Notamacropus eugenii: one gene and its partners. The protein of the gene in region 3 interacts with the protein of the main gene of each other region in a pairwise test. Links are inferred from orthologs where the notes say so. Each region holds a gene or a part of one and is shown on either strand. Other genes may lie near its edges. The genes, in order: FBLN1, EGFL7, HOXA1 and TRIM42.

Evidence for each region.
Region 1: the proteins of HOXA1 (region 3) and FBLN1 interact in binary tests that used the Homo sapiens proteins (3 or more experiments, as listed by UniProt). The link is inferred for Notamacropus eugenii from reciprocal best matches to the Homo sapiens genes HOXA1 and FBLN1.
Region 2: the proteins of HOXA1 (region 3) and EGFL7 interact in binary tests that used the Homo sapiens proteins (3 or more experiments, as listed by UniProt). The link is inferred for Notamacropus eugenii from reciprocal best matches to the Homo sapiens genes HOXA1 and EGFL7.
Region 4: the proteins of HOXA1 (region 3) and TRIM42 interact in binary tests that used the Homo sapiens proteins (3 or more experiments, as listed by UniProt). The two-hybrid records come from large-scale screens. The link is inferred for Notamacropus eugenii from reciprocal best matches to the Homo sapiens genes HOXA1 and TRIM42.

Annotation. Positions count from the first base shown.
Region 1 is NC_092874.1:310,068,069-310,075,316, forward strand, and holds the start of FBLN1 (fibulin-1), read right to left. Parts: upstream 3,122-7,248; 5' UTR 2,726-3,121; coding exon 2,659-2,725; intron 1-2,658. UniProt on the Homo sapiens protein: Incorporated into fibronectin-containing matrix fibers. May play a role in cell adhesion and migration along protein fibers within the extracellular matrix (ECM).
Region 2 is NC_092872.1:489,306,040-489,314,021, forward strand, and holds the start of EGFL7 (epidermal growth factor-like protein 7), read right to left. Parts: upstream 3,113-7,982; 5' UTR 2,995-3,112; intron 1-2,994. UniProt on the Homo sapiens protein: Regulates vascular tubulogenesis in vivo. Inhibits platelet-derived growth factor (PDGF)-BB-induced smooth muscle cell migration and promotes endothelial cell adhesion to the extracellular matrix and angiogenesis.
Region 3 is NC_092874.1:18,131,429-18,138,713, forward strand, and holds HOXA1 (homeobox protein Hox-A1), read right to left. Parts: upstream 3,021-7,285; 5' UTR 2,877-3,020; coding exon 2,222-2,876; intron 1,724-2,221; coding exon 1,365-1,723; 3' UTR 156-1,364; downstream 1-155. UniProt on the Homo sapiens protein: Sequence-specific transcription factor. Regulates multiple developmental processes including brainstem, inner and outer ear, abducens nerve and cardiovascular development and morphogenesis as well as cognition and behavior.
Region 4 is NC_092876.1:325,567,259-325,575,358, forward strand, and holds the start of TRIM42 (tripartite motif-containing protein 42), read right to left. Parts: upstream 3,140-8,100; 5' UTR 3,010-3,139; coding exon of another isoform or gene 2,880-3,009; coding exon 2,690-2,879; intron 1-2,689.

The DNA of each region.
Region 1 (7,248 bases), about 290 Mb from region 3:
AGCCCAAAGTAGGTGCTTAAATACAGCATATCATCCACTGATATGCCAAGAACTGGCGCTGAGGTCAGGGGACAGCAATGAGCTGCCCAAGGTTACACAGGCAGTGGTGAGTATGAGAGATGACTTTAGAACCCAGGTTCCAGGACACCACCACCAGTGTCATCTTCCCACCACTCCACCAGGGAGGCAGTACATGGTATGGATGAGGAGGATGGTATTATGCCCCTTCCCCAGCATCACAAAGTCAATAAAGCAGTAGAATCAGGCTCCTGCTTTGTTGCTGCTAGCCAAGGGCTCTTTTCAGGATGCCAGGGGAGTCAGTGGGTCCAGACACCTCCAGGAAAGGATTCCCTATTCAGAGGCTTCTTGAATTCTTTTGAATTGGGGTATTAATACAGGGTCATTTGATGCTCTAAGCAGAATAGAGGAGGGAGGACCCTGGATTCAAATCATCCCATCTTATTGTCTGGCTCTATCATTGTCAGTCATTGACTGCTAGGCTCTGGGATCCCATCCTCCATCATTCCTCTCTCCATGGAGATGGGTAGGGCCCTACTGGGATTCCCTTGGTCTCCATGAGGCACTAGAGCCAAAGTAACCCATCCCTTGGCACCAGCTCCTTGCTCCCCCCCAACCATGGGCCAGGCCTGAAGCTATCCTGGCCTGTCCAGACCTGCCAGAAGCTCCTCAACTCCCCAGTGAGGCTCTGGGGGCTTGGGGAGGGGAAACTTTGACTGTCCCTGTCAGGGTTATGTAAATAGCTAACCAAAATCGATTCCTCTTTGGGACTCTTTGGGGTCCCTGCTGCCCACTCATTCAGACTTGCCCAATAGCTTTTCTGGTAGTTTGGGGGCCCACAAAGAGAAACACCCCCACCCCAAAGCCATAAATGGAAGAGCCTGGGGGTGGAAGAGAAAGGCATGTCCTTGGGGTGAGCTCCCAGTCAGCCTGGAGGTCAGGCCTGTGACTAGTGAGAAGAAAGCCTGGGGTGGAGGAAGGGGACAGAACCTTCTCCTGTCCCATTTCTCCAGCTGCCAGGCCCAGCAGCCCATGCCAGAGGGTAGAAGCTACTGTCCACTGTCAGGAGCCAGCAAGGCCACCTCAGCTGTCCAGTCCATATAGCTCAGTTTTTTTAAAATAGGTGAGGAAGCTGAAAGGGACATTAAAGAACAGGGAATCTCATTTTACAGATGAGGAAACTGAGGCCAGAAAGGGGAAGGGACAAGACTGTACAGGGAGAACCATGGCAATTCTGAAATGGAAAGCATCTCAATGCTCATCTAATCTCACTCCTGTCTGAACAAGAACCTTCTAGTGGGTAACTGATCATCCATCTCTGCCTGAAGACCTTCAGGAAGGCAAAGAATGGAGGCTGGGACCAGGCCTGGTTCTGGAGCTGGCCAAATTATCTGAGGGAGTGCCCATGTCTGGGCACTGCCCTGGCTTCCAAAGCTCCCCGAACTGGACTGGATGTCTCTTGGACAGCCAGAGTCTCTCCTAAATCCTTCCTTTTTTCACAAGCTTTCTCCCAACACCAAGTGCTGAAGGCACTACTGCTGAAGGCACTATTCTACAGATAAGGAAAATGAGACTCTGGACAAGGAAATCCCACCCATGCCCAATGGCCACAGAATCAGGGGAGGAAGCCAGAGCTCCAAGTCCAGAGCAGCCCCCTCCCTACTCCCTGAGACCTGGACTCCACCAATGAGGAAAGAGATTCTGCCAGGATGCCCATGGGGAGGAGAAAGCAAACATGTGCTCTGTCCCACAGACTCTTGAGCACTGCCCCTCTTCTCCCCACTCCCCACCCCCTCACCAGGAATGGTTCTGGTCTCTGGCTTTAATTGTTTCAATAACAACGCTAGGAAGGGCTTGTGTAGATTAGAGCTGGGGACACTGCAGGCAGGACCCCTGGAAAAGGCTGCCTCCTCCCTGATATGGTTTTACAGCCCAGAAAAGGGAGGGTGAGCTAGGGGAGAAGGGGCCCCAACAAAGTCTCTTCTGACCAAGGGATAGACACCCTCAGCGAATGCTGAGAACCCAGCGTTCTCCACTCCCAAGTCTTTTTTCACTCTGCCACAGTAACCTAGGAATTAGCATGTGTTGGCAAGGAGGTGGGAGAAAAGAATTTGGAAGATGGGGTGGGGGTGGGCTGAAAACACCTAGTCCACCTCCCTTTTTGACAGATGGGGAAACCGAGGCCGGGAACAGGGAAGCAATATGCCCGAGGTCACACAGGTGAGAAGAACATCTGCCCTCTCAAAGAAAGCTCCGAGAAGAGTGGGGAGAGTGAGTTGGTGGGGGGGAGAGGGGATGGCGAGCAATGCGGGAGGGTGTGGGCAGGGAGGCAGAGACGAGGCGGAAGCCCTTGGGCACCTGGGGTGCCGGGGCTGGCGATGCCGTTGGGTTGTGTCAGTGGCCAGGACGGGAGGCCAGAACACGACAGGACAGACGGGTATCACAAGTTCCCTTCCTCCGGAGTGGCAGAGAGAAAGGAGGCGCGGGGCGGGGGGGAACCCACAGAAGGCCCTTCTGTGAGAGAGAGAAGGGGGACGTTAAGGGGCTGAGGTCTCCGGCACCACCTCGCGCCCGAGCCCCTCTCCCCACGACTGCGCTCTGGGGGCGGTCCCCAGCCCCCCAGCTGGCCCCTCTCCTTACCTCCGGCGGCCAGCAGCGTGACGAGGGCCAGCAGCCCCAGAGGGCGCGGCGGCCAGGCCGGCTCCATGGGGCGCGGGACTCTGGGAAGGGGGTGAGCCCCCTGAGCGCACAAAGGGGCCAGCGACTTCTCCTTCTTCTCCGGCCGGCGGCCCGGCTCCCGCTCCTCCCTTCTGGACTTGGGGGGCACTTGTGTGAGGGAGTGTGAGGACGCGGGGTGCCCAGCGGTCCCCGGGCCGCCCGCTTGCTTCTGTCCTCGGGAGCGACTCGCCCTGCTCCTTTTAATTATCCCGCCTGGAAGCGCTCTGGCCCAAGCCCAGGCTAGGCTAGGGGGAGCGGGAGATGGGGCGGGGGACTGGGGCGGGGGGCGGGCGGGCGTGGGGCGGGCCGATCGCTGGAGTGATGGCAGCAGGCCGCTCCGGGCTGGATTTCTGGCTGCCTGGCTCTTTCCGTCTCCCGGGTTCGGGGTTCTTTAAAAACAAAAACGACTCTTTCCCCCTCCCTCTGCTCTGTCTGTCCAGCTCTCTGCTCCTGTCTTGTCTCTCTCTGCGTGTCTCAGTCTGTCTCCCCTTTTCTCTCCTCTCATGTTCCTCTGCCCTCGCTTCTTTCCAAAAGTGGAGAGGGGAAGGGGCCCTCGGTTGGAGTTTCTCCAAAGCCACCCCACTCTACTGGACTCCTGCCAGGCCTAAGACTGAAGGTCACTCAGTGCCCCTTCAGAATACCGGAACCAGAGAACAGGCTCTGAGACATGTCCCTCCAGGACCCACAGTCCCCTTTGCCCCATCCATCACAACAAGTGATGGGGAGTCCATGCTTCCCGGAGGCCCCTGTCCTGAACACTCCCATCCCCCACCTCAGAAGGAGCACTTTGCCCCCTCCAGGGAAAGCCACTTATCATGGGCATTGTTCTGTGTTCTACTTATCTGTATTTTCGTCTTATCAGTCTCCAGACTATGGGCACCAGGAGAGCAGCCACCTCCTTTTCTGCAACTCTCTCTCTCCCTGTCCCTGTCCCTCTCCCTCTCCCTCTTTCTCTTCCTCCCTCTCTCTGTCTTTCTCTCTCTCTCTCTTCCCCCGCCCCTCAACTGTTACAAATATTTACTGGATATCAGGATTTACTGAGCCACAGAATATCAGAGTTGGCTGAAAACCCCAGTGATGGGCTGCTCCAAGCTGTCTGTCTCCCCCTCCCTCCCCTCCCTCCCCTCCCTCCCTCTTCTCCCTGCCCCTCTCTCTCCCCTCCCTGAAGGTGGGATTATTGACTCTCAACCCTCAGCCTCTGACCTCTGAACCCAGAGGTTTCTCTTTCTTTTACGTTTGCTTAACAATCAGTAGACACCCTAACAATTGCAGCACCAGAAGGGGAGGGAAAAAGCAAATAGGCAAAGAGGAAACCTAATTAGTACTTTGGGGGAGGGGGAGATGGAATAATTTTCTTATCCTAATTCTTATTCTAATCCAAGGAAGTCAACTAAAATGTCTTCACAACACTTCATTGCAGGGCTCTCCAGGTAACTGCCTCCCAGATATCCAGAATTAGATGTCCAGTAGACATCTGAAACTCCATACATTTAACAGTAAACTAATTATCTTTCCTCCTAAACCTCCTCTGCTCCTACCTTCCATATGACTATAGAGGGCACCACCTTCTGCCCAGTCCCTTAGGCTCCCCATCTAGGAGTCAGCCTGGACTCCTTGATCTTTCTCATCCACCCCCCAACCCATATCTAATATGTTGCTGAGGCTTTTCAGCATCTCTCTGGTACGTCCCCTTCTCTCCTCTGACACAGTACAGACTCTGGTCACAAACAAAACATTCCCTCTCTCGGCTCTGGGCCTTTTCTTGGGATGCTCTTCATTCTGCACTCTGCTTACTGATCTCCCTGGCTTCCATTCAGTCCTACAGCCCCCTTGGACAGGAAGCTTTCCTCCAAACACTTTGACTTCCCATGCTATCCCTCTGTTACTTTCTATACCATCTAGAGCTTGCTTTGTGTAGTTTTGTATGCATCTTGCTGCCCCTGTGAGACTGTAAGATCCTTGAGGACAGGGACTGTCTTCTACCTCTTTTTGTATTCCCAGTATTTAGCATAAGGCCTGGCACAGTCAGGTTTTTTGTTGTTGTTCACTCATTTTTTCAGTCATGGTGGACTCTTGGTAACCCCATTTGGGGTTTTCTCAGCAGATACTGCAGTGGTTTGCCCTTTCCTTCTCCAACTCATTTTACAGATGAGGAAATGGAGGCAAACAGGGTGAAATGACTTGCCCAGGGTCACACAACTAGTAAGTGTCTGGGGCCAGATTTGAACTCAGGAAGACTCATGTTCCTGACTCCAGGCCCATCACTCTACCCACTGAGCCTGCTAGCGATCCATCACTCGATAGGTCTGGATCTGGGCCCAGCACCTGATTAGCTGTTTTTACAAATATCAACAACAATATTGTAAAGTAAGTATTATTGTCCCCATTTTATAGCTAAGGAAACTTAGACAGAAATTAAGTGGCCTGCCCAGGGTCCTAGAGCTAGTGTCTAAAGCTACATGTGAGCTCAGGTCTTCCTGACTCCAGGCTCCCACACTGTGAACACTGTGTGATTGAGCAGCCTCCAGAGCAAATCACTTTCATTTCCTGAGCCTCAGTTTCCACCTGTATAAAAGGAGAATGTGGACCAGATAGCCTCTAATGTTAGGGACCAGCCTTAAATATAGGATTCTATGCACTCAGTCCATTAATAGGCCTTTATTAAGCACCTACTATGTGTCAAGTGATATTGGGTTACCCACCTCTAGAGTTTGCCACCTGGTAGAGATTACATCCTTGCCATGTTCTAGGCTCCACTTATGCTGACTGGGTCTTCCTATGGGCAGAGCCAGGCCCAACTCAGGTCCAAAGGGAGGGGCTGGTCCCATCAGAAAGAGAACCCATGTTCTAACCCTATGAAGAGTTCCCAAGAACTGGGCAGAAAACCAATTAAAACCAGGTGTGGCCCCAGTGAGTTCTCTGCTGGGAGGCAGACCCCAAAGTCCCAGAGTTTAAAAGTTGGATAAACTGAATGGTGGAGACATTGGTCATTGGGATGCAATGAGGAGAGAGATGGAGGGTGAGGGGAAGAGAAGGGGCAGAAAGTCTCACCCAAAGTAAAGGAGAGGGGAAATGTTCGGTGAGGGGTTCTGGACCAGTCAAGGGTTGAGCTACAGCCAGAAAGATGGACCAAGAGGAACGGAGAGGGTCACCCTGGGCTGTCACTGCCTCTCATCCTAGCTTCCTAGCCAAGCTCAGGAGAATGTGTTCTCTGTTTCAAGGCCTCTGGGAAGGAGGGCTCAGGGACTTTGCTGAGTTGGTCAGCTTGCTCATGCACCTCCAGCAGAGCTAGAAAATTCTCCACAGCAGTCTGATCTAAGTCCCTGCCTGAGACCAGCCCCTAACCTTCCCACTGACCTGGGTAATGGGGAACAGCTGGCCCTCATATTTGCCTAGCAATTGTTCACAGGCCTGTCACAGAGCACATCTCACACACACACACACACACACACACACACACACACACACATACACACACAATATCTGAAGTTGGCTTTGGGCCCTCTCTGCTTCCCTTCCTTGGGGATCCATCCAGTGGATATTTGAGACTCCCTATCAGGAGCAGGAGAACCCACTTGGGGAAGGTGTTCCCACTCATCTCCCACCTCCTGAGTCTCCTTCCAGGAGGGATTTTCCTAGAGCTGAGCTCTCCACAAATCCTTCTCACAAAAGGCTAGGGGTCAGTGTTCAAGCTCTTCCCCCTTGGCCTGCAGAAACCCATTCCCTCCCCAGATTCTCCCCAGTCTAACTCCTGCCTACATAACTCAACTGAAAGAATGCTTTGGGAAATCACCAATGCCTGCTGTGCCAAATGGCATGGCCTGTGCCTGAGTCGCCTCCTTCTCCACCTGTTTGCAGTGTGGAATGCTTTGGATGCTTCTGGCTGTCTCTGCCTCAATGGAACTTCTTCCCCACCCTCCTTTCCTAAGGATCCTTGGTCCAGATCTCCAACCCTTCTGCATCTTGTATCTTCTGGCTTAGAGAATATCCCTCAGAGCTCACCTGTCTAATGCCCCTCACGTCATTTGGGGGATCAGGCTCAGACCCTGAGATTTCAGGAGATCCCTGTTGGTGGAACTGCACTGATGCAAGTCAGCCCTCCTCTTCCCCTTCTTGTGTCAGAGGCCTCCTGGATGCTGGGGGCTGGCAACTGGCTCAGGGTCACCTGGTCAGGACATCACCGGATGGCCCATGGGATCAGCAACTAAAGCACTTGGTCCTTGCTGACCAACTTCTCTTCTTTCTTCCATTCCCTAAATCTTCTCACCGTGTGTCACCTCTGGTGGATCTAACAAGCCCTTGCTATGGACAGTTTCCACAGCTGTATCTCTAGCCCCAGCCTTCTCCCAAACAACACTCCAATTCTGCAATCACTGTGCCCCAAACATTCCCTTCTGCCTGTCTTTCCTATGAGGCTCATGTCACCTCCAGTCTCCCAGATGCTCACGCATCTCACTTGCCTCTCACATCTAATCACTTATAAAGTTCTGCAAACACATCCTTCATAACAGG
Region 2 (7,982 bases), on a different chromosome or scaffold from region 3:
AAAGCCCCTCAGGGAAGGCAATAAGAGAAATAGGTGTTTCTGAGCCAAAAGACAGGGAGATATCATATCCTGTAGCCTGGTACAAATTCTTTAGCTTTATTACCCCAGTGGATAAACCTCTTTACACTCAAGCCAGTCCCCCAGGTAATCTAGTCTGTAAACTCCATTGAATCTAAGTACTTCACTGGAGAAATAGGTCCTGGAGAAGCGAGCTGATTTGTCCAAGGTCAGTTGGTTAGGATAAGGGACATAGAATTGTAGATTTAGAGCTGCAGTTCTAGTTCAACCCTCTCTCTCATTTTGCAGATGAGGAAGCTGAATCCAAGAGAGGTTACATGATTTGTGGAAGGCCACACAGTTATCAAGTAGCAGAACCAGGATTTGAACCAGGTCCTTTGACCACAAATCCAGCCCTCATTCCACTCCTCCAGTCCCCCAGTTCAGAGCTTTTTTCCCTGGACTACCCACATTCATTTAACTCACTCTTGAGACCCTCTACTACAATCTTCCTCTTTCCTGTCTCGTCATAGCATGGTAAAGGTGAGCCTGGATTCTCCAAGATTATAGCAGGAAAGCCCAACTCCTGGTAGGTTCTAACAAGTTGAAAAGGTTTCAAGTGTGGTCTCTGTAACAGATATTAGGTTCTTGGGCCAGAGGGCTGGAGAACTTTCCCTATTACCTCTCTGAGCCACGTGGTGATAAATGTTATGATCACAGCAACTCCTAAAGACAGTTGGGAAGGTTCTTGATATATACTGGTAGAGGGAGGAGTACTCACATGGACAGTCATGGGTCCCTAAAATATTCAACTTCGGTACAATTGAGTCCTGACTACGTACAAAAGCTCAAGCCTGTTGCTACACAGAGTAGGAGGGGCAGGAAATGTTACCCGCTTTGTTCTAGGAAAGTCAGGCAGGCTTCACTCCAGGGGCCCCCTTCCTCTAATTCTGCCCTCCTTTGAGACTGCCCAGCCCCAACCCTCTTGACCCTAAATTCTTTCTAGGGCTTGTTCCACCCCAGAGGAGGTGGGATGTTCTGATCTGATTTTAAGGAGTCCCGTTTAGAGCCAGCCCTTGCAAACTTGCAAGCTCAGTTCTTTGTGGTCAACACTCTGGCCCTTCCAGCTGAGGTGCCCTGTGGGTATAGGGTGTTCCTGGTCTGGCTGGTGTGGCATTATGAGCCCCCTCCCCAAACTCTAGCTTTCTCCAATGGGAACCAACTTCTTTCTTATTCTATCCATTCAAGGTCATGTTTTCTGACATAAATTCAGATCTAATCAGTTACTAGTGTCTTCCCTCCTCTCAAGTCCTCCAATTACTTTATATATGTGAGTACTGGGGTCTCCCATGATGGGATATAAGCTTCTTGATGGCAAGTACTATTTCATTTTTGCCTTTGTATCCCTAGCAACTTGCACAGTCTAATAGGTATTTCATAAATGCTTGTTGACTGACTGATGGGTTGAATCACGTTGTGTTCATGTGAGAGAACTAGAGACCTAATTCTGGGGCCCCATCTATGGATTTTGCCAGGGTCCTTCTATAGACCTTAAACCTGCCTCTATCCTGTAGCCTTATTCCTACTGTTCTCCCATGCCTAATATTTTCCTATCTCTTCTGATTCGTTGACTTGACTCAAGTCCTTTCCGATGCTTTGGGTGCTCAATGCCTGCATCCCTCCCACCCCTCCATCTATTGATATCTGGTGTATCCCCACCCCTAATTCCCTCATCCATCAGTGAATCTTTTTGTGAACTTTATTTTTTTGTCTTGGCTTGTGATTTTATTGGTGTGAGACAGAGATGTCAAGCACCAGCCTGCAGCGCTCTTGAGTGTGAGCCAAACTGAATTAAAATATAATTGGGAAATACTTTTAAAAATAAATAAAATGCAACAGAATGTAAATGATCCTAATGTGTGGTTTTCTAAGTCAACTCTCAGCCTGCTGGGATCCTTATATATGGTTTAGTGACCCTTGTTTCTGTTTGAGCTTGATACCACTCATATAGGGAACTCTCAGGGAAGAAATTCCATCCACTAATGCAGACACAGACCTCTTCTGAACTTTATCATCTTAGTAGCAACTTGTAGGCTAAGTGACTTGCCTGTGATCCAATAGCCTATATGTATCAGAAGCAAGAATTAAACTCAGACCTTCTAACTCCAACGATAGCCCTCTATTCACTTTCCTGTGCTGGCTCACATGAACCCCTGCAGCAATGGATTATATTTATTCATGTCCATGTATATTATCCCTCTTAATAGGCTATAAGCTTTCTGAAGGTAGTATCTAATTTATTTGTTTCCATTTTGGGGCAAAGCACTGTGCTGGGCACACAGACAATGTTTATTAGAATGAACGAACATTAGATCTTTGAATGTTAGAGTTAGAAAGAACCTCGGAGGGTGGCTAGTTCACTCTTGTTATTTACTAGAACCTTAATACAACTCAAATGGGAGTAGATTTCTTTTTTTACTTTTTAGAAAGTACTTCCTCACCCAGGGTAGAAATCTTGTCTACAGTAGCCCCCGAAGTCACCTTTAATAAGGTTGCTTTAAAATTTGCCATCCAAATCCCCTTCCAATCTTAATCCAGATGTTCATATTCTCAGTAAAATGTGAAACACTTTCATTTTTCTGAACTCAGTCTAGCTTCCCAGACAATAACATAAATTCTTTCTAGGTTCACTCCTTAAGAGAAAATAGCTGGCACTATGGAGTGGTAGATGAACCTGGAGTTTTAGGAGAAGACTCAATATGGCAAAGTGAAAAGAGCAGTGGACTGGGAGCCAGGAGACCTGTTAGAGTTCTGGTTTTCCCAGAATAACTTCCCAGGACAACCTTGGGCAGGACATTCCTTCTTCAGGCCTCAGTTTAAAGTGTGGGAGCTAGTCTAGGTTAACTCACTTATCCAGCGCTAAGATTTTATGGTTCTAAGTTTCTCCTAAAGATGACTTGGCTCCAGCCCTTCCCCTCAAGAAAATAAGTGAGTTACCTTTTTCTAGTTCTGCAGGCCAGATGCACGGCAAATTGGCTGAGAAATGCAGAGCCCCTGTCCTTGCCTGAGATGTCTTGCTGCCATGTTTCCCCCAGCTCCAGCTCAGCAGGAAAGGTCAGAACCCTTGACTAAGGCTGTACTGCACATCCCAAACCACCATGTGACATATGGGCACTGGTGACATCTCCATTTGAGCCAGAAGAGGTGGGAAGAGAAGAATGAACCTGTCGAGAAGAGGAGAAAAAATGCCATTTCCTGTTTTTCACACCATTGGAATCAGTTTGGTTGAGGCAGCAGCTGGCCGAGGCAGGCAGGATAGGGAATGGTGTTTTAAATAACAGGGGCAGGGTCCAGATTGCCAAAGAGGCTGTTGAGTATTTGTAGTGGAGGAGGATTGTGACTCAAAGGGTGGATTGACTACTGTCTCCTCATTTGGGAATGTAGGGGTATGGACAGGAAGAGAAAAATACCCATCATCTATGCTTGTCTCTATTTTACAGGATAACTGTAGTGAAGTCATTTTAAAGAGATGAGAGGATCAAGTAGGAAGGAGGAAGTTACATTCTTTAGGGTTGATGGACAATTTCTGGAAAATCCACAGGCTGGTCCAGACTTGGGGTCCTTCAAGAATTTCCTATGTGACCCTCTTCAAGAGACCCCCAAATTCTTTCCTCAGATATGGCTTGCCCAGGTCAGTGGGTCACAATGATTTCAGTGTTGTAACAATCTTGGAAAATATTGCCCTCAAAATAGGGAAATTCACAACTAAGCCCAGCTCCACTGCTCTCTCAGGTGAACCCTCTACTCTAGCCAAATTGGTCTTGTCAGTACTGTTCAGCTTTCCTTTCTCTATATCTTTCCTTGACCCAGTGCCTTATTTGGAATGCTCTCTGTCTTCTTTCTAATTATTTTATTTCTACTTATCCTTCAAGGCCCAACTTGAGTCCCAAAACTCTTTAGAGTTTTCTTTGACCTGTCCAGCTGACACATCTCTCCTTCCCTTCAATTCCTTATAAGCATTTACCATTTGTACCATTTCTTGGGCACTTCTCACAAACTCCCTAATTACCCCCTACCCTTACTTTTTAACATTAGCCTTGTCTTCCCAGCAAGCCTATAAGTTCCTGAAGGACAGGGACTATATCTGGAGGACAAATACTATATCTGGAGGAGAGTGAGATAAAGTTGGAGGGGTAGGGATATGACCAGGCTATGGTGAGCCTTGACTACAAGGCTGAGGAGTATGAATTTCTTCCTGGGGGAATGAAGATCCATGGAAAGTTTTGGGAAAGAGAAAGAATCATGGTGATAAGGAAACAAGGTAGGGCTTCTCTGAATTACTGCAGGGGTCATCAGTGCTGAGGAAGATTGATCTAGGCATCCTAAGCTTGGCAAGACCCTGATGGCCCAGCTAATTGTCTTGGGCAACAGAGGGATCCACATGGACTCACCCAGATAACCTGTACAAATTCTGCTTCTTGGGTCTGAGTTAAACTGAGTTAAAACCAGTTTTAATCTTCCCCTTATCTGGATAGCTTTTTATAGCTTAGTGGAAAGAGTGCTAGATATGAGGTTAGAAGAGTTAGGTCCAAATCTCAGTACTGCCATTTCTTGTGTGACATGAGATATGTCACTTAATCTTTTCTGGGCCTCAGTTTCCCCTTCACTAATATGAAGGGGTTGAACTAAATAGTCACTTGAGATTCCTTTCCAGTTCTAAATCTGTAACTTATCTATGACTCTCAGCCTTCTTCGTGATGTGTTGATTCTTTGAGTGTCTTCATCTCCTTTTCTCTTTAAAACAAAACCTATAAGACGGGGGGACCAGACTTAGAAATGAAAGCCCTAAAACTGCTAAAAATTAGAGCCTTTTATCAGAGTCAATGGAGTGGGAGAGACAAAGCTCATATGGCAGTACAAGGTTCTCTCGTTAGGGAACTGTCTAAATTATGCTACAGCCATTTTTATTAGTGATAAGAACAGATGGGCTCCTTGGCTCTGATCTTGCAAATGCTAGGGATTCCAAGAGGGAAGGGGGGGGGGGCAGTTTGAAAATGTTGATAATATAGGGCATTCCAAACTTACTGCTGGGAAACTCTAGGGTGAAAGCTGCTGTTGTTAGTCAGTAGTCTTATATCTTCATTTTCTTCCCTTACTCTCTGACAATCTTCTCACTCACAACCTTGGTGTCCTGGTGCCTTTTCAGAAGCACTATCTCAGGAAGGTCCTAGCTATATTTCTCTTCACTCCCTACTCTCCAGTCACCTCCTCCTTGCTTTGGTCCTACCTTCCCACGCCTTTTCTTCCCTTTCCTTTCTTTGTAAGTCTAGAATCATGCATGATGATGAAATCAACTTTGTCAAGATCCATGGATGGGTAGTACCAATCTACTCTGCTACAGCTCCACTTACTATGCATCCCTGTAACTTTCAGAATGAAGTTGCCCGACCCTAGTCACTCTTCTCCTTTGGATGCTGTCTCCCTCATTAGAATGGCAATTCCTTAAGGACAGGGACTGACTGCACTTGTTTCTATATTTATATCCCCATAAAAAGTGCTTTTTCATTCATTCATCTACCTCTCTCTAGTTTTGTTTTGGGGATTAAGTTGCAATGACAAAACCATCATCTCAACTTCTTAGAATTCCCAGCTTTCTTCAAGGATCAGCTTATGAACCTTTTCCTTGGAAACCTGCTGATCCCTCAGGTTTTTAGTGCTCTCTCCTTTCTCAAATAATCAGACTTAGCTGGCTCTAATGTTATCACTGGTGACTGACTTTCTTGGCCCACTATCTCAGGAGGACCACAGTCATGCTTTGCTTCACTCTCTATTCCCCAGGCATCTTCTGTATAGCTCTGCCAACCACTTTGACAAAGTATGGACAATCTACTACCTTTCCCCCTTCCAGCTCCTGGAACCATGACCAAGTCAACTCTGCCGTTGTCCCTAGATGGAGTGCTTCAATCTACTCCCCACTCACCATTCCTGTAACTTTTGGGATCAAGGTACCCTTCCTGGACCATCTGACTTGAACCTATTAGAATACTAGTTGAAGGCAAGAACTGTCTTTGCTTTTAACATTTGTAACCCTAGTGCTTGGCACATCATAAGCACTTGATAAATGCTTTTTCAGTCAGTCGGCAGTATTTATTAAGTGTACTAAACACCGTGCTTAGTGCTAGAGATAAAAACAACCCTTGCTTTCAAGAAGCTAACATTTTAATGGAGAGATAATAAATGATTGACATATGTAAGGTATTTACAGAGTAGATGGAAGGTAACCTCAGAAGGAAGGGGGTTAAAGGGTGGAACTGGGAAGATGAGATTTGTGCTGAGTTCTAAATTCATTCATCTGTTTTCATGTTATATTTCCCCAGTATAATATAAGCTTCATGAGAATGTATTCTGTTTTCCATTCTGTCTTCGTATCCTCTGAATATATAATGTAACATCTTAAGCTAAATGTTGAATTGCATTGAGCTGGACTTACTTTTACCATTGCTGATAAGAATGACATGCTCTTCGTTCTGAGTGTCCTGGAGAGAAGATAGATTACAGTAATCAGGCCCAGGAAGAGGTGAATAAAATGAACCCTTGGGCCCTATGTTTAGTGAAGGGAGTCATTATTTGCATATCTTCAGCCATTCAAGGAGATTCTCATATATTCCACAGGGTGAGTTCTTTAACTTGTGAGGAGTTGGGTCTCATTTCCACTGACAACAATTGTTACAAGTCAAGGGGAGGCTAGGATCATGAAAGCAAAAAAACCAAAACCCCCTCCCCCAAAAAAGAAATTTCCATAATTCCAATCCATTCAATTCAATAAATAGTCACTGAATACTTACAACGAGCCCAGCGCTGAATTCTTTAATGCTTACAGGAAGCAAAGATGTATATATAAGATGCATCCCTGAGGCCAGAGTTGGAGTATCTAAATTGAGAATTCTTGGGTTCTATGAACTTGTTTTTAAAAAAAAAATTGATAATCATAGGTTAATATGATTGGTTTCCTTTGTAATCCTCTGTATTTTATTTCATGCATTTAAGACTTTTTTTTAGATTGGGTCTCCATCTCTCACCCAGCATGGAAATGCAACAGCCATTCCCAATCACTGTTGATTAGCATGGAACCTTTGACTTGCTCATTTTCTGACCTGGACTGATTCTTCCTTTCCTAGACACCTTGGTGGCCCTCTGCTCTCAGAGGCCCACCATATTTGTTCTGGACTTAGTACAGATAACCAACAAATTTTAGCCACACTAAAGCTCAGAATTCCCAAACTCAAGTAATCTATAGGCCTTGGTATCCCTAGTATCAAGAATTATAGGTGTGTGTCACCACACTCATCATATAGACATTATTCTAAGAAAGGGTTCATAGCCTTCACCAGAATGTCGAATGGGTTCATGACATAGAATAAAGCTAAGAACTCCTGGTCTAGACTTATAAGTATGAATGTTAATTAACACTGGCACCATCTGAGGAAAACTTGGTTGGTTGGCCCAGGCAGCTATAACTCAAATCACTACTATTCTTCTGGAATTGTGAGGTGAGGACCTATAGGGGTGGAGAAGCATATCAGAGAGGTTAGTCTAACAAAGGTGAGCCTTAAAGAACATGGAGAATGTTCCAACAACACAAAGAGGAACTAAATTATGTGGGATAGATAAAAGTTCTGGACGTTCTAAGGGGAAGAAAGAGAGGTCACTGTTGCTTGAAATTGTCAGTTAAGACGAGTTTTCCGAAAATCTTGAACTTGAGCTGGGCATTTAAGAATGGGTGGGATTCATCTAGGGGGTTGCTTTAGTTAGGGGCAAGTAACAAAGGTGCTAGCATTGTTTTGGCCCCAAAGAGATCCAGCCTTATCAACCTTAAACTTTCTCAGGCATAGTGCCAGGAAACCTGCTCAAGGTAACCCCTTGGACTCTACTTTCCAACAATCAGAGGCTGAAATCTAGTTTTAGTAACTAGGACTTGTCCAAAT
Region 3 (7,285 bases):
GGATGAGGAGGAAAAAATTGACTCTATCCAATTAAGGGCAACTTTTATGAAAGTAGAGACACCCTTTTCCCTTCCCCTTCGCACATGAAATGATCAACCCAGTGTGGAATCAATTGTAGCAGCCTGGAGGAAATACAAGGAAGCCCAAGCATACCTGAAATGTGAATATATTTATTACAGATATTTTAGGACCCGTAAATTCTGCTCTGAATTCCATCACTCTTGGAATCTCAGAACTTTTCATGATTGTACAGAAACTCAGAAGCATTGTGGGACCACAAAGGACAACTGATAGAACTCAGTGTAGTATCTTTGGGAGCTCAAACCATTGTGCACCATGCAAAAAGCCTATTCACGAATCACATGAAATATACATTCATTTCGCCATTCATCACATTTACGATTGGGTTGGAGATACATCAAATCGAGGGAAGGATTACTGTGGAAATAAGATGTTTGGAGATAATATGCCCTAGGGTTCAGAAACAATTCAGCATAATTTTTGAGTGGGGCAGGAGGAGGCCAGAAGAGGTGGGAGGACTGGGGGAGAGACACTGCACACCCAGGAGGTTTACAAAAACAACAAAAAATACCCCAAAACACAACAACAACAATAACCCAGTGCAGCCCAGTCCTACTCATCTTCTCCAAAGGCACAGGGCTACTTCCCTGTGAAGTAATCTGATTGGGCTTCACCAGTCCAGTCTGATTTCTTTATTTTGTCACTTTTAGTCCTGTATAAAATTACACCCAGCTTTGGGAGTCTATCCACCCTGTTTTAATCTCCTAAGCTAAACATCATTTCTAGAAAATCTGTATAAAGATAAATCTCTTAAAGTATTTACAACCAGCAAACTCTCACACAAGAAACTGAATGCATTAAATTAAAAAGATGAATGTGTAAACACTTTCATAGTGCATCCTCTTCTTGAGGTCTTTAGACTCTCTTTTTTCCTGCCTTTAGTGTCCGGGAGATGAGGAGAAGGAGGACGGGGGGAGAAAAATAATTTGAAGTTAGATATCAGATATCTCCACCCTTCAAGCATGGGAGGGGGTGGGGTGGGGAGATGGAGTTTTTCCAAAGGATGTCTGAATCAATCATAGGCCCTCAGAGGTCATCAAAGACCAGATGGTGGTACCCCACCATTTGTGAAGTTACTCCCACCCAGCCTCTCAGTCTCTGGGCCTGAATTCTCTTGAAACACAGTGACCTAGCCCGAAGAAGACATGGAGATAACATCAAAAAGAAAGACATAGTAAAGGAAGGGAGAGATAAGCTAAGAATGTGCTTCGGGTTAGAAGTCCTGCACTAAAGTATCATGGGGTGGGGAGTGGGGGGAGGAAAAAAGGGGCCAGGGGCAAACTCAGTTGGAGGTAGTCAGAGTGTCTGAGGTAGAGGAGGCTGGGGAAGAGGGGACGCAGGGCGAAGAGGTAGATTTGTCTGAGGATTCCTCGGCCTTGTCGTCACTCCGTGATGGAGTGGTGGGCGAAATGGGCAACAGGCCCTCCTTTTCTCTCTTCTTTTGCTTCATGCGGCGGTTCTGAAACCAGATTTTCACCTGGGTCTCGTTGAGTTGCAGTGAGGCTGCGATCTCCACCCTTCTGGCCCTCGTGAGGTACTTGTTGAAATGAAATTCCTTTTCCAGCTCAGTCAGCTGCTTGGTGGTAAAATTGGTGCGCACTGTGTTGGGTTGGCCAATATACCCATATTCACCAGCTTTCCCTGGAGGGCAAGGGTGGGGAGAGGGGAAGGTGGAGAGAAAAGAAGTAGTTTGGTCATCTGATTGTTTTTAGTTTTTAAATGGTGTGGATGAGTGATTTATTTATACCCGTCAAGCTTTGGGATCATAGGTAAAGGGGCAAAGGATAACCTGACCACATAGGACTCCTAGGAAGGTGACTGATGAGGTACAAAGTATTAACTTGAAGTCAACTATTGGTGTGAACAGAAATCGTGATTAATGGGAGTCCACCCCTCCACCCCCAGCTCCTACTTTCAGGAAGCCAGAGAGAGGGACTGGCCTCCTGCCTATTATTCCTGGGCATCATTTACCTAAGTACACCTGAGTTCTCCACCCTATCCACCCCCTACAAAACCTATATATAACCTTGAGTTGGCTTCTCCCCACCATATTAAGTAAACCTACACCCACCCACCACTCCACCCCCAAACCCTCATGGCAGCAGTAGCAGTGGTCAGGTGCTGGGCAAGAGAACTGACCTGTTTTGGGGGGATTCCTTTTGACTTTCATCCAGTCAAAGGTCTGTGTTGGAGGTGATGCCTCTGCTGAAGGAGAGCGACAGGTTTCTTGGTGGCTGGCATGGAGAGGGGACAAGGAGTTATTATAATTTGCCAGAGTCAGATTCTGCGCTTCTTGTCCATATGAGTGGTGAATGTACTGAGGCGAGCCCACCGTGCCCCCAGCATAACCCTGGTGGTGGTGGTGGTGATGCTGGACCATGGAAGATGAGAGAGTTCCAGAGTAAACAGCGGGAGCACACGAGGGGTACCCGCCGCTTACGTCTGCTTCCTGATTTAATGAGTAGGGGCTGTAACCTGCTCCGAAGTTCTGCGATCCGAACCCCGGGCCACAGCTGGAGTGGGAATAAGACATACCCAGGTTGTTGAGGTGCTGGTAGGCGGCCGGCTGGGGATAGTGGTGATGGGCGTGAGGGTGGTGGGGAGGACTCATCTGCACCCCCCTGCCCACCAGGAAGCGCTCGTCGCTCCCGCAGCTGTTGGCACTGACCGCGCACGACTGGAAAGTTGTAATCCCATGATCGGGGTGGTAGGCTCGGGCGGAGCAGGTCCCCGAGTCTCCTGCGTTGAGGATAGGGTGCTCCAGGAAGGAGGCGCTCATTCTCGCATTGTCCATCTGCCTGTCACACAGTGACCGGCTCCTTCCGAGCCCTGGGTGACCGTGCCAACTTTCTCACTTCCTCCATGGGGCCAAAGAGAAAAATGATATGAATGTACAGTGTGCAGGGGGCGGGGGAGGGGGAGAGAGGGACGGGGCGCACGTGACCGCGGCAGCCAATGGCGGAGCCTCCTGTGAAAGTTTGCCTGTTCTTGCTGGTGATGGATCACCGTTTCAGTGGCATTTAAATCCCGGACGCTCCTCCATCAAGGTGACGCGCAGTCGCCCCCCCGGCCGCTGCAGCGGCGGCGGCGGCAGTGGCAACGATGGGAGCCCCGCTCTGGGGCCGGGCCCAGGAGGAGCCGGAGCCCCAGGGGCAGCCCTCCCCGTTGCCACCACCGCCGCTGTTGGCTCCCGCTCCGCCCTGCCTTAGGAGTCGCTGGAGGAATGGGGGAGTGGGGCAGATCCCCAGGGCCCAGCGAGGAGGACGAAGATGCGGCGCTTGGCGGGGAGAGTCCCAGCTCTGGTCAGGATCGCAGGGCTGGGGCTCGGTCTGCACTGAGCCGGCCGCCCAATTGCAGGTGAGTGGGAGAGCCCCTCACCCTCCCGGCCAACCCCAGTACCAGAGTGAGCCAAGGAGAAAGAAAAGGAAGATCGCCCTGCACCCGCGCCCCAGCCTCCGGGTGAGTGTGCTAGGCGCTGCCCCTAGCTGCCCAGCTCTCTGGTTATTGTCATGACCACGGCTTCCTTTGGGAACAGTGCGACTGGGAGGGGACGGTTTGGCGAGAAAACCTACAAGGCCCGTGTGGGAGGAGGCTAAGAGCAGAGGAGAGAAAAAGAGTAGGGGGAGGGAGGAGGGAGAAAAAGGAGGGGGAGAAGGGAGGAGGAGGACGAAGGAGGAGAGGGGGAGGAGGAGAAGGAGGAGGAGGAGAACTTCTCATCTCCACGGAAGGTCTCCAAAGCCAAGGAGCTTCCCCCTCCCCAATCCGCCCCAGTCCCGCAGCTATTAGCATGGCAATGAGACGTTGTTGTAATCTGATTCCCGGGGGCGGGAGAGCTGGGGGACCCTGGATTGACGGGAAAGGCCGCCTTGGCAGCAGCAATCCCCCTCCCCCAGCTTCTCCTCCTTCCCTATAATCGACTCTGCCTGGGGAGTCCGAGGTGACCGGCGAGTAACTCCCTAACTCCGCGGAGGGATGGGGGGGAGAGGGGGAAGGGGAAGGGCGGGGAGAGAGAAGGGGCAGACGCTGGCGAATGTAGCCCAGCTCTGGAGCGGGTCCCGGAGCTGCTGTCCATCTGGTAGGCTCCCCCAGCGCTGGAGGGTCAACCCACGCAGGCCGGGACATCCGAAGCCTCTGTCTAACCCCAACCCGGACCGAGTGCCTAGACATAAAAGACGAGGAGCGGGCTAAGAATTAACTGTAGAATTAACTATAATCAAATTCTTCTACCTTGGGGCTAGATCACCTCACGATTCCCCTCCTTCCCCCCCTCCCCAATCGAACCCCAACACTCCTAGGGTCACCATCCGCTGTGTCTGGAGTTGGAGGTGGGGGCTGCCAAGTGGGAGGGGCGACAGATGGTTGATGATGGAAAGTGAGCTTTCCCCTCCCTGCTACACCCCCTCCCTCCCCACAGCCAGACCCGCCCAGCCTCCTTGGTTTCTAGACTGCACTGACTGGCTAGTTTTCCCTAGAGGTTTGCGTTGCTACTAGCAGAAATCTCTTCCCAGGCTAAGGGTCCTGTTTTCAGTCACCTTCGTTCTCTCACAGCTACTAATGGGTTCTTTAATTTCTGTGGGGCACTGGGCTCCGTGTCAACCCTGAGCGGGCAGAGAAAAGGCCAAGTAGAACGGGTCAGAGACAGACTGAGACAGAAAAGAGTTGGGACAAACAGCAAGGCGGAGAGGGCCAGAGAAGGAATCTCTCGGTTCTGTGGGGGTGCTCCTTATGTAGCCAGGAATATCTGCGGTGTGCTTAGAGCCAATCCCTGCAGAGGAGGTGATCGCTAGGGCCACAGATCTGGAGGCTGCTTTTGATTGGTTACTTGTTTCCTCCCACCCCCTCCAATTTCAAGAACTAGATTTTTAGGGGGCCTATTTGAAATTTCCGTGTTACCACATTCCTTTTCTGTTTTGTTTCCTAAAATATAAACTCCTAAAATAAAATATAAACTCCTTTTCTCCTCCATGTCGAGCCCTCTCCCCCAGTAGCCTCCTCCTCAGAGAGGGGAGAACAAAATTGGAGGAGCTTCACCAGCTTCAGGGGCCCCTCAGCCCATCCCTCCTCCATTTCTCCTCTCCCCTCTCCCAAGTAGAAGGTGTTTCTCCCCAATATTTTTGCCCTTCTATTTTCATTTGCTCTTTTGCCCTTTGACCCATAGTCATGACGAGGAACTGAAGCAGGCCCCAAGTGAGCCAGTAGAGCCTCTTCCAATACGATCAGCACCATGCCACCAGGAAGGTTGGACCCTCTGAGGAGAAAGAGTCTGGACCTTGACTGAGGAGAATCGTCCCTTTCTCCTCTTCCCAGGCCAGCATCCAGTTCTGAGGCTCCTTCTCAGAGATTCTGGGGGCAGGGCTTGGAGTGGGGGTGGGGAGCTGCACAGTCATCACAGCTAAGCGTTTTCCTTTCCAGGAGCACAGCTTCCACAGAGTCCCCCTCTTTTCTCCATTTCTATATCTTTGTTTTTAAAAAGCTCATGTCTTTTGTTAAGATCCCACTTAGTCTAGAAGTCTGTAGCCTGCTCAGTCACAATGAAACATAATAGGGAATGATGGAATGTGTTCTATTGCCTCTCCATCTTGTCTGCTTTCTTCTACCCCCCCATCCCCCTCCTCTCTCTCTTTCTCCCTCCTTCCTTTGCCCTCTTGTTTTCTCACCCTCCCTGTCACAGGCTCTTTTCCTCTTTCCTCCGTTTCCTCCCTCCCTCTCTCTTTTTCTTTCTCTCTCTCCCCCTTTCCTTTTCCTCAGTCCTCTGACACTCTTTCCTCCTCCCTCTATTTCCCCCCTCTCCTTCTTATCATCCCTCCCACTTCCATCTCTTCTCTTTCCTTCTCTCCCTCTCTTTCCTCCAGTTCCTCCCTACTTGCTCCTTCTTTTTCTTTCCCTTTTTCCTCCCCTCTCTACCTTTCTCTTCCTCTTCTCTTTCTCCCGCCTTTCTTTTTTATCCTCCCTCCCACTTTCTTCTTCTCTTCCTGCCTCTCTTCTCTCCTGTCCTCTTTTCCCTCTCTCCCTCCTCTTTCCCACTAAGTGGAAGCCCCAGCAAGGAGTTTCCCTGGTGTGTGTAAATACTCACAGACATATTCACACAGGCAAAGCCATCAACAGAAATCGAGATACTGTACCCACTGGCGTTTCTCCACCCGGCTTAGCCTCTCTGCTGCCTGGGCCCAGATTCCACAGGCTCGTCATAGTCCAGATCAGCGCCTCCACTTCCTTCGGAGAATTTCGCCTTTCTTGAGCTTTCTTCCCACCGGCCATCACACAAAAGACTGGCCCCAGAAACACAAGACGACCAAGAGGCAAAACCTCCTTCCCTCATCCAGGAGGAAATTGATCTCGAAATCGACAAACGAGTTTTAGAGCCCTCTTTGAGCCCTGGGGAGTTGGTAATGAGAGCACCCAGCAAAGAACCCCATGCTTTGTCAAAAATGGAAAGCTTAGAGGCAGGCAGGGGAAGGGTGGAGAGACCGTCATTAAAATAAAAAGAGAATGGCTAGATTTAAAGCGCTTCTTCCCTCCGCCCAAAGCCCTTCTCCTAGAAAGAAAAGGAGGGAGGAGGGGGGGAAGCCCAGGCTCTGAGCTTTTCGTGGCATCGGCAGCTTAGCCAAGCTGTTGTTTTAAAAGAGCAATAAAAATGACTTATAGCTTAAACGCCTCCTAACTTAATGCTTTCAGACGGGGATCCCCAGCTCGGGCAAATACGTAAGAGGACTTGTATTTGTGCATGTGTTCCTGCAATTGATCTCTTTGATGACATTCTCATTCATAGAAAGAGTTTGATTTATGAGCAGTAGAAGAATTCTATCCAGCCCTATTCCCAGCTCTGGCCCACACAGCCCAGCCCAGCCCAGCCCAGCCCAACCCAGCAAACTTTCAGTTCAGCTTCTCTCCACTGGGCTCCGGTAAAAAGAACCCTACAACTTCTCCCAGATGCTGGATAGTTCTTTACGGAGGGAGGACTGAGGAGGTGGAGGGGGGGCATGCATTCACCCACCCACAGAGCCCAGATTTCATTGTAACTGCCAAACTATTACTGTTAAGGTCTTCGGTTAGTAAATCAGACCAGCCCACTCACACATGTTGCTTGCACTGTTTTCTCACGGTAAATAACACTGTTCACAGAAAGAGGGAGAAAAAGGGGGAAAGAAAATAAGAGGAAAAAAAAAACCAGAACAACCCAATAGCACAGCCCTACATCATATT
Region 4 (8,100 bases), on a different chromosome or scaffold from region 3:
CACCAGAAGAATATTGTACTGGTATTAAATAAGATGGGTTTTAGCAGCAGGTAGCAACCTGAAAGTACTATGAAGTTACCCACATGCAATATATTCCATCTCGTCTCCTCTCATTCCATTGTGTGTTAAGTTATTTTTAGTTGTGTCTGACACTTCATGGCCCCATTTGGGGGTTTTCTTGGCAAAGATACTGGAGTAGTTTGCCATTTCCTTCTCCAGTTCATTTTACAGATGAACTGGGACAAACAGAAATGATTAAGTGACTTGCCCAAGGTCACATAGCTACTAAGTGTCTGAGGTCAGATTTGAACTTAGGAAGATGAGTCTTCCTGACTTGAGTCCTGGCACTCTATCATACCACCTAGCTTGCCCCATTCAGTTAAGCTGGTTTATTGTTCATCTGCATGGAGTGCCTTCATGAGATATAGGTACTGATATACTAATCCAATAGGGTTGCCCATCCAACTACATGCCTTAATTAGGACATTTGTTCTTCTTTCTCCTGTGTGTGTTAATTTCTTTTAAAAATGTCCATGAAGTCTCACTGAGAAGGCCCTGTGATATTTTTGGCACAGGGTCATCTGCAAAGATGAATGTTTGGAGAGCCTTAAAAATTCATTGAGTACTTAATAGTCCAAAATGTTGGACTAGGTGGAAAAGACCAAGCAGCTTGCAATTTAGAGATTTATGCACTTAACACAATTAGACACATATCCCATAATGTTCCCCAGTGAAAGTTGCTCCTCAGTATTCTTAATATATTAAAAATAAAATCCTACTCTAATGTAAGAAACTCTGCTGTTAGGTTTTAGGATCAATCCTTTAAGACACAACTCCCCATACACACCCTGTGTATAGTAGCCCAACAGTGTCTTTAACGGTCATTCAGAAAATAGTTTCCAGGTGGGCCCAAGAGATTGCATCAATGAATCAGTCAGAACGGGGGTAGTCTTCTGTGCTCTTTCTTCCTTTCCTGTGAAAACCTGTCCTTTTCAAGTTTCTAGCTAGGATGAGGAAAAAAGGGTAGATATACAGAATTACTGGTTTCTCCTCATTGAGATGAATGGTGTTGACTCCATTTCCTAGTATTGTGGATGGAGGAATGAAAAGGTATAAAGTTGTGTGAGGTACAGAGACTTGAAAAGTGAACATGACAGTGACAGGTATAAAGGTGAAGGATCACCTCCATGTAGGTGAGATATCACCTAGGTGAGAATCACACAAGGGGTGGGGAAGAGGGAAGTGGTGGGGAAGTTGAGTCAGTAATACAGTTGTGAAGATGAACATAATAGCACCTTAGGATTTATCTCGTTCAAACTTAGTTTTAAAGATGAAGGAACTGGAACACAGAGAGGTATCTTGATCGAGGTCAGTAAGTGTCGTAAATTGTAACTCAAACCCAGATCATCTGTCCAGGGCTTTTTATCCTACATCTAGAGTTTTATGTCTCTAAGAACTTTTTTAATCTTTTGTAATTTAAATTTTGGTCAACCAGGAATCTATCTCTAAAACATTTTAACATTGTTCCTGTGGCACTAACTACTCCCAGCAATGTTGTTTAGCCTAATGTTTTTTTTTAGACATCACAAAGTAGGATAGATTAAATTTTCAGATTAAAAAATTTTCAAATTAATTTTAAATAAAAATAATTTAAAACCACTATTTAATTGAGTACTTCTGGCATACTAGACATTATCTAGGAATGTGCTGTAAGGAATACCAAGAAATCAAAGGCATCATGCTTGCTGTCCAGTAGCCTGTATTCTAGCTGGAGAGACAAAATATAAATATACAAAAAAAAACCCCCAAATAACATTACAAGATGAAAGCATGCATTACTGATAACCACTGGTAGGATTAGACAAAATGCCAAAGTTTTTGAAATCAGAGATCCTGAGTTCAAGTCTTGACTAGCTGACTACTGTGTTACCTTGGCAAGCATAGTAACTTCTCTGGGTCTGAATTTCCTCATCTGTAAGATGAGATGAAATAACTTGACCTTTAAGGTCCCTTTCACCTCTAAGTTTGATGATCCTATGAAATGAGCAGTATACTAGAGTGGTTCAACATTTTCAAAGGTAGATTTAGAGTCAGAGGGCCTGGGTTTGATTGTCTACTCTACTGCTTACTATTTACTACTTTTCATGACCTTGGACAAACCACTTTAATTTTCCTGGGCATCAGTTTCCCGTATGTAAAATGAAAGGCTTGGAACTAGGTAACCTTAAAAGTTTTTTCTAACTTGAAAGACTTGAGTATCTCCTAAAGGAGAGAACAGTGTAGGCTTAGACAGTTAAATCTTTCTGGGCCTCAATTTCCCCATATGTAAAATGAGAAGTTTGGACTAGGTAACCTTTAAGGTCTTTGTTAACTTAAAGTCTTAGTATCTCCTGAAGGAGAGAACAGTGTAGACTTGGATAGTCTAGGGAGACTGCCAAGAGGGGAAGGAATCAGAACTGGGCCTTGAAGGATGAGGATAGACCTGGAAAAGTCATGCACTAGCCAGTGAGTGATACAGAAAGGAAGGGTCATGATTCCCAAGAGGCTGGGGGGAAGGAAGTCATGATGGTCTCTGCTTTGTTAGGGAAGTTGTTTATTAAACAAATCCTGGCAGAATTGACTAAAATGAAGTTGGCCTCAGCAGGTTATGATGGGCATCAGTCTGGGCATGGGTTCCTAGAGTACTTACGGGGAGTCAGTAGGGAAAGGTCCTCTGTAGCAGCAGCGGGCCTCATAGCAGTGACAGGTAGATGCGCCTGGTGGACAAATACAGCAGCACTTGAAGATGGGGTCATTGGCGCAGGAGCAGCAGCACCAGTGGCAGTTGGGAGCATCTGAACAGGTACAGTGACAGAACTGGCATACCCCATCATCTTCATATGGGCAGGGGCAACAGGTGCAGTTCCTTTCTGTAGTGAGAAGAAACTTCATGCATAGGCACATGCGTGACTTGGGTAAGATATGCTCCCATGGACAGCATGGAGAAAAGAGGCACATTGATTCATCCATGACTCCTATAAAATCCCTGCCTTCTACATGTGGTTCATAATGTTACCCTCTTCCAGAGTCCCAAGGTCTATTTGATAGCACACTCTATCTCTAAAAAGACCAGCTGCTTGGTTTCCTCAAGTCCATGACCTGTTTGTTACAACTAGGATGCCAAGGGACAGATGGGCATTTTCATAGGTAAGACTGAGTTCATTGTTTATGTCATAATCCCTCTTTCCCCTCTTTAATTCACCACACTGTGGGGCTGCAGGTGCCTGTAGGCACATTCTCCATGGACAATCAGCCAGTCTGTGGGATTGAAGTGAATAAAATGACTGGTGATCTTTTGCTGTCACCATGTAGTATGTAAGCTGAGAAGGCTAGGCTTTGGATTGCTTAATTCCTTGTCAGACTTAGGCCTGTGCTTCAGGTAAACCATCTGGGGATGCCATACAGGGTTTCCTGGGCTATGACTTAGTGGACTGAAGGCCTAGGCTTCCCCATAACTGTGCTCTCAGCAGAAAAGAGAGTTGAATTTAGAATTTGAGGTCCTAGGTTCAAATCCTGGCTCCTTGCAACCAGCAAGTCATTTCAGTTTCCTGGGCTTCAGTTTTCTCTTCTATAAAATGAAGAGGCTGGACTAGATTAGGGGTTCTTAACCCTTTTTGTTTCATGGATTCCTTTGGCAATCTGGTGAAGCCTATCTCATAATTATGTTTTTAAATTCATGAAAAAATGCATAGGATTATAAAAGAAAACAACTTATATTGAGATAGTTGTCAAAATATTAAAAGTTCCAAGTTCATGAACCCCTCAAATCTATCTAGGGACACTTGGAGCAGTTGAGGGACCCTAGGTTAAGAATCTCTTTACTAGAATGGCATCTCTGAATCTAAGACCATATGAATTGAAAACATAAGGAATCTCTAATTGTTCTTTTTCTATAGAAATACAAGTTAAACTATTGAGCCAAAACTTCCACCAGAGAGGCTGAGGTATGGGTAACTGGGAAACCCCAATATCAGCAACATGAGCCTAGAGGGAATGGCCTGGTAGGTACTTCAAGCCCTTTCAAAAAGATCTAACAGAGTTACTAACAAGGCTTTGCAAAAAACAACTACAACTATAAACCCAAGAATGATTTTTTTTTTTTTTAGCTGTAAGATAGACGGGACCACAGAATCAATCGTACCATCACATTGTATCTGTTGATCCGGGCAAAAATGAAAGCTTTGCAAGTGTTTCCACTTTGGGTGGAACTGACATTGATAAAAATGTTGGTGTCGTTCCATGTAGAACTTCTGATCCTGATGAACATCAGTCAATTGATGAGTTTTTGTCTATAATGTATGAACATCACAACTGCTAAGCAAAAGGTGCATTTTTCAGATTTTCCTCTTCTTTTAAGTAATAATGGAGTAAAACAAACTCTAAATAAAGCTTTTCAAGATCTGGGCTAATATTTTTGTTTCTTCTGCTTTAAACGATGCCTGATTTCATTAGTCAATAATGATAATCACCCCTCTTCCCCATTCCCTTCGCCCATGAAAACCAAGTTGGCGTGCACTTCTCAAGTATCATCACTATGTGTTACAATCATTTGCACATTCTTCATTCATATTCCCCTACTAAACTCCATGGGGCAAAAATTTTATTTCATTTCCATATTGCATCAACCCCATTACAATTGTCTGAAAATGATTAATACATATTTGTTGAAATTGAATTTTTCTCTTTTGTATAAGGGATACCTAAATCACTTGTATGATGCATAGTCAAATCCTTTTCAGAATAAGAGGCTCATAGAAGCTTAAAACTGGAAAGATTCACAGATCTACCTATCCAAGGCAGATCTTTGTCAGGGTAATTCTTCTATCTGCATATTTGCTTCTGCAAGTAGAGATGATATTGAGATATGAATGCAACAAAGAAAAATCTAGGATATGAGAAGTATGGAGAATCAAGAAGTCTCTCAGGAAAGGGTCCCACATGTACAAAAATATTTATAGCAGCACTCTTTGTAGTTGCCAAAAACTGGAAATCAAGGGGATGCCCATCAGTTGGGGAATGGCTGAATAAGTTGTGGTGTATGAATGTAATGGAGTAATTTTGTGCCATAAGAAATGAGGAACAAGAAGACTCCAGAGAGGCCTGGAAAGACTTATATGATCTGATGCTGAGTGAAAGGAGCAGAACCAGGAGAAATTTGTGCACAGCAACGACCACAGCGTGCGAGAGTTTTTTCTGGTAGACTTGGAACTTCATAATAACTCAAGAACTTAAAAAAAAAATTCCCAATGATTTTCTAAGGCAAAACGCCTTCCACACTCAGAGAAAGAACTATGGAATTCATTTGTAGAATGTAGCAGATCTTGTTTGTATATATATGTGTGTGCGTGTGTGTATTATGTTTTGATTTCTTATATGGTTTCTTCCATTTATTTTAGTTCATCTATATAGCATTACTGTAGTGAAAACATATTCAATAGGAAAGTATACGTACATCATATATAGAATTGTATGGCATCTTGGGGAGGGAGGGGAGTCGTGGAGGGTAGGCGGGGGGTAAAAATATAAGCTTTTTGGTAGTGATTGTGGAACATTAAAAATAAATAAACTTTAAAAAAAGATAAAAATATGGTAAAATACCAAAAAAAAAAAAAAAAAGTCAACTGGGCCAAGACTTTAATGCAAGGGATCTGCCTCCTCAATTCATAGAATCCCAGAATTAGGAGGGATGTGCAAGGTTATCTAACCTAACTTCCTATTAAAAGATGTACTATAGAATTTTAGGAACTAGAGTTTCAAGGGATCTTGATGATCAACTGGTTCAATTGTCTTTTTACAGCTGAAGAAATGAGGTCCTCAAAGGTGAGCTTATTTGTCCAAGGCTATCCAATAGCCAATCAAAAATGAGATCCCAGATCTACAGATTTCCTATCTCAGTTCTTTATTCACTGCACTCTATAGGTCAAATTAAGATAGCCCTTTTTGGAAGTGGTTTCCTCAGAGGTCCCTAATTTGGCATCTGCATTTCGCATATCCCATTCTGAGTCAAGTGCTCTCCACCCGGGAGAGCCCCACACATTCCGGGCAGTGTAAACAAAGGGAAGAAATGAGCTTCGTTTTGTTTTCCAGACATCTGAAGGGTCCCTTATTAGCACATTCCAGGTCTAGGTTGTAAGTTGTACAGCATTTGAAAGCCTTTAAAACGCCCTGATTGCATATTCACCTGAGGTCAGCCAAGTAGTCCCTTCTGTGAGAGATTCTCAGATACATGACCCAATTCGAATATATTTAAGATTAGCCCAGGTTAATGCGCTTTCCAAGAATTTTTAAAAGTACTGAACCTTGGCACAGTTTGCCACAAAGTTTCTTTCTGTGTGCATCCTGGGCAATCTCTAGTAATCCTGAGGAACATCAGGTCACTGGACTCAGATGGCTTTGGAGGAGAAGTGAGGTTGGTGACCTGCACAGCCCTCCCTCACTCAAAACAAATGAACGCTAGCTGGGCACCTCACCTCCTTCTCTCCTGTCTGCCTCTCCCTCCCCTAACCTCCTCTCCAAACTAAGGTAAATTTGGATGGCCAAAAGCTGCCCAGTTGACTTGGGTTTTATTGCTTCCTTCCCTCCCTTCCCCTCCTTTCCCTTCCCTTCCCCTCCCCTCCCCTCCCCTCCCCTCCCCGCCCCTCCCCTCCTCTTCCTTCCCCTCCCCTCCCCTCCCCTCCTCTTCCTTCCCCTCCCCTCCCCTCCCCTCCCCTCCTCTTCCTTCCCCTCCCCTCTCCTCCTCTCCTTTCCCCCTCCTCTGCCCTTTCCCCTCCCCTCCCCCTTCCCTTCTCTTCTCTTCCCTTCCCTTCCCTTCCTCTGTCTTCTCCCAAAACCTTAAACCTACTACACCCTGAAACTGGGACTCCAAAGAGCCCTTGCCAAGGGCTTCTGGAGCCCCCCCAGCTTCACAGTCATTATCAGTAGTAACTGTTGCTGTTTCCCACCCAACCTGATGTCTTTATTTTTCTTGACCTCATTAAAAGGGCCATGCCCTGGCTACTTCTTAAACAGGCCTATTCAATGAATGGGGATTGCCTCACCCTAAGTGAGTGCCTGCAAAGACCTTGGCCTAAAACGGCCCAAGGTCTCCCAGTGCATCCTGGGCCATCTCCAGTAATCCTGAAGAACATCAGGTCATTGGACTGACATGGCTGTGGAAAAGAAGTGGGGCTGGTGACCTGCACAGCCCTCCCTCACTCAAAACAAAGTCAAGTGCAAGTCATGTCATCATTTTCTGATGGTATGGTCTTCTTAGCAATGAAGGACTAACACGATCCTGTGAGTAGATGCAGCTGGCTGAATGCTAGCTGGGTACCTCACCTCCTTCTCTCCTGTCTGCCTCTCTCTCCCCTAACCTCCTCTCCAAACTAAGGTAAATTTGGATGGCCAAAAGCTGCCCAGTTGAACTGAGTTTTACTGTCTCCTTCTCTCCCTTCCCTTCCCTTCCTTTCCCTTCCCTTCCCTTCCCTTCCCTTCCCTTCCCTTCCCTTCCCTTCCCTTCCCTCCACTTCCCTCCACTTTCCTCCCCTCCCTTCCCCTGCCCTCCCCTCATAAACAAACATAAATTTGGAAGCCAGCACCAAGTAGCCAAATTGCATACAATACCTACCCCTTCACTCAGAAGGTTACTCCTTCTGAGAAAGAAGATATGATTCCTAATCTCGCTGGGAAGTCAAGATACAAATATGAACAAATAAACAACAAGGCTACAGAGACTTCAGAAACCATTTATCAATTCTATACTTAAATAAGAATACCATCTGCAATATATCCAACAAGAAGTCATTTTTGAAGACCTCAAGTGAGGAGTAAACCATTACCTCCTCAAAAGAGAAAATTCTCTCCTCCTCCTTCATATTATTTCTCACCTCCCCCTTGTCCCTAGGAATTATTCTTGGCTTCTCTAAGTTACTAGGACTACTTTATGTCAGGGTATTTGGGTAGTTTCTCTAGCAAAGCTCTTGATAGCATGGCATAGATTCTGTGTGTGTGTTTGTTTTCGTTACCAAAGAAGACCATGCCATCAAAGAAATGATGACATGACTTGCACTTGACTTTGTTTTG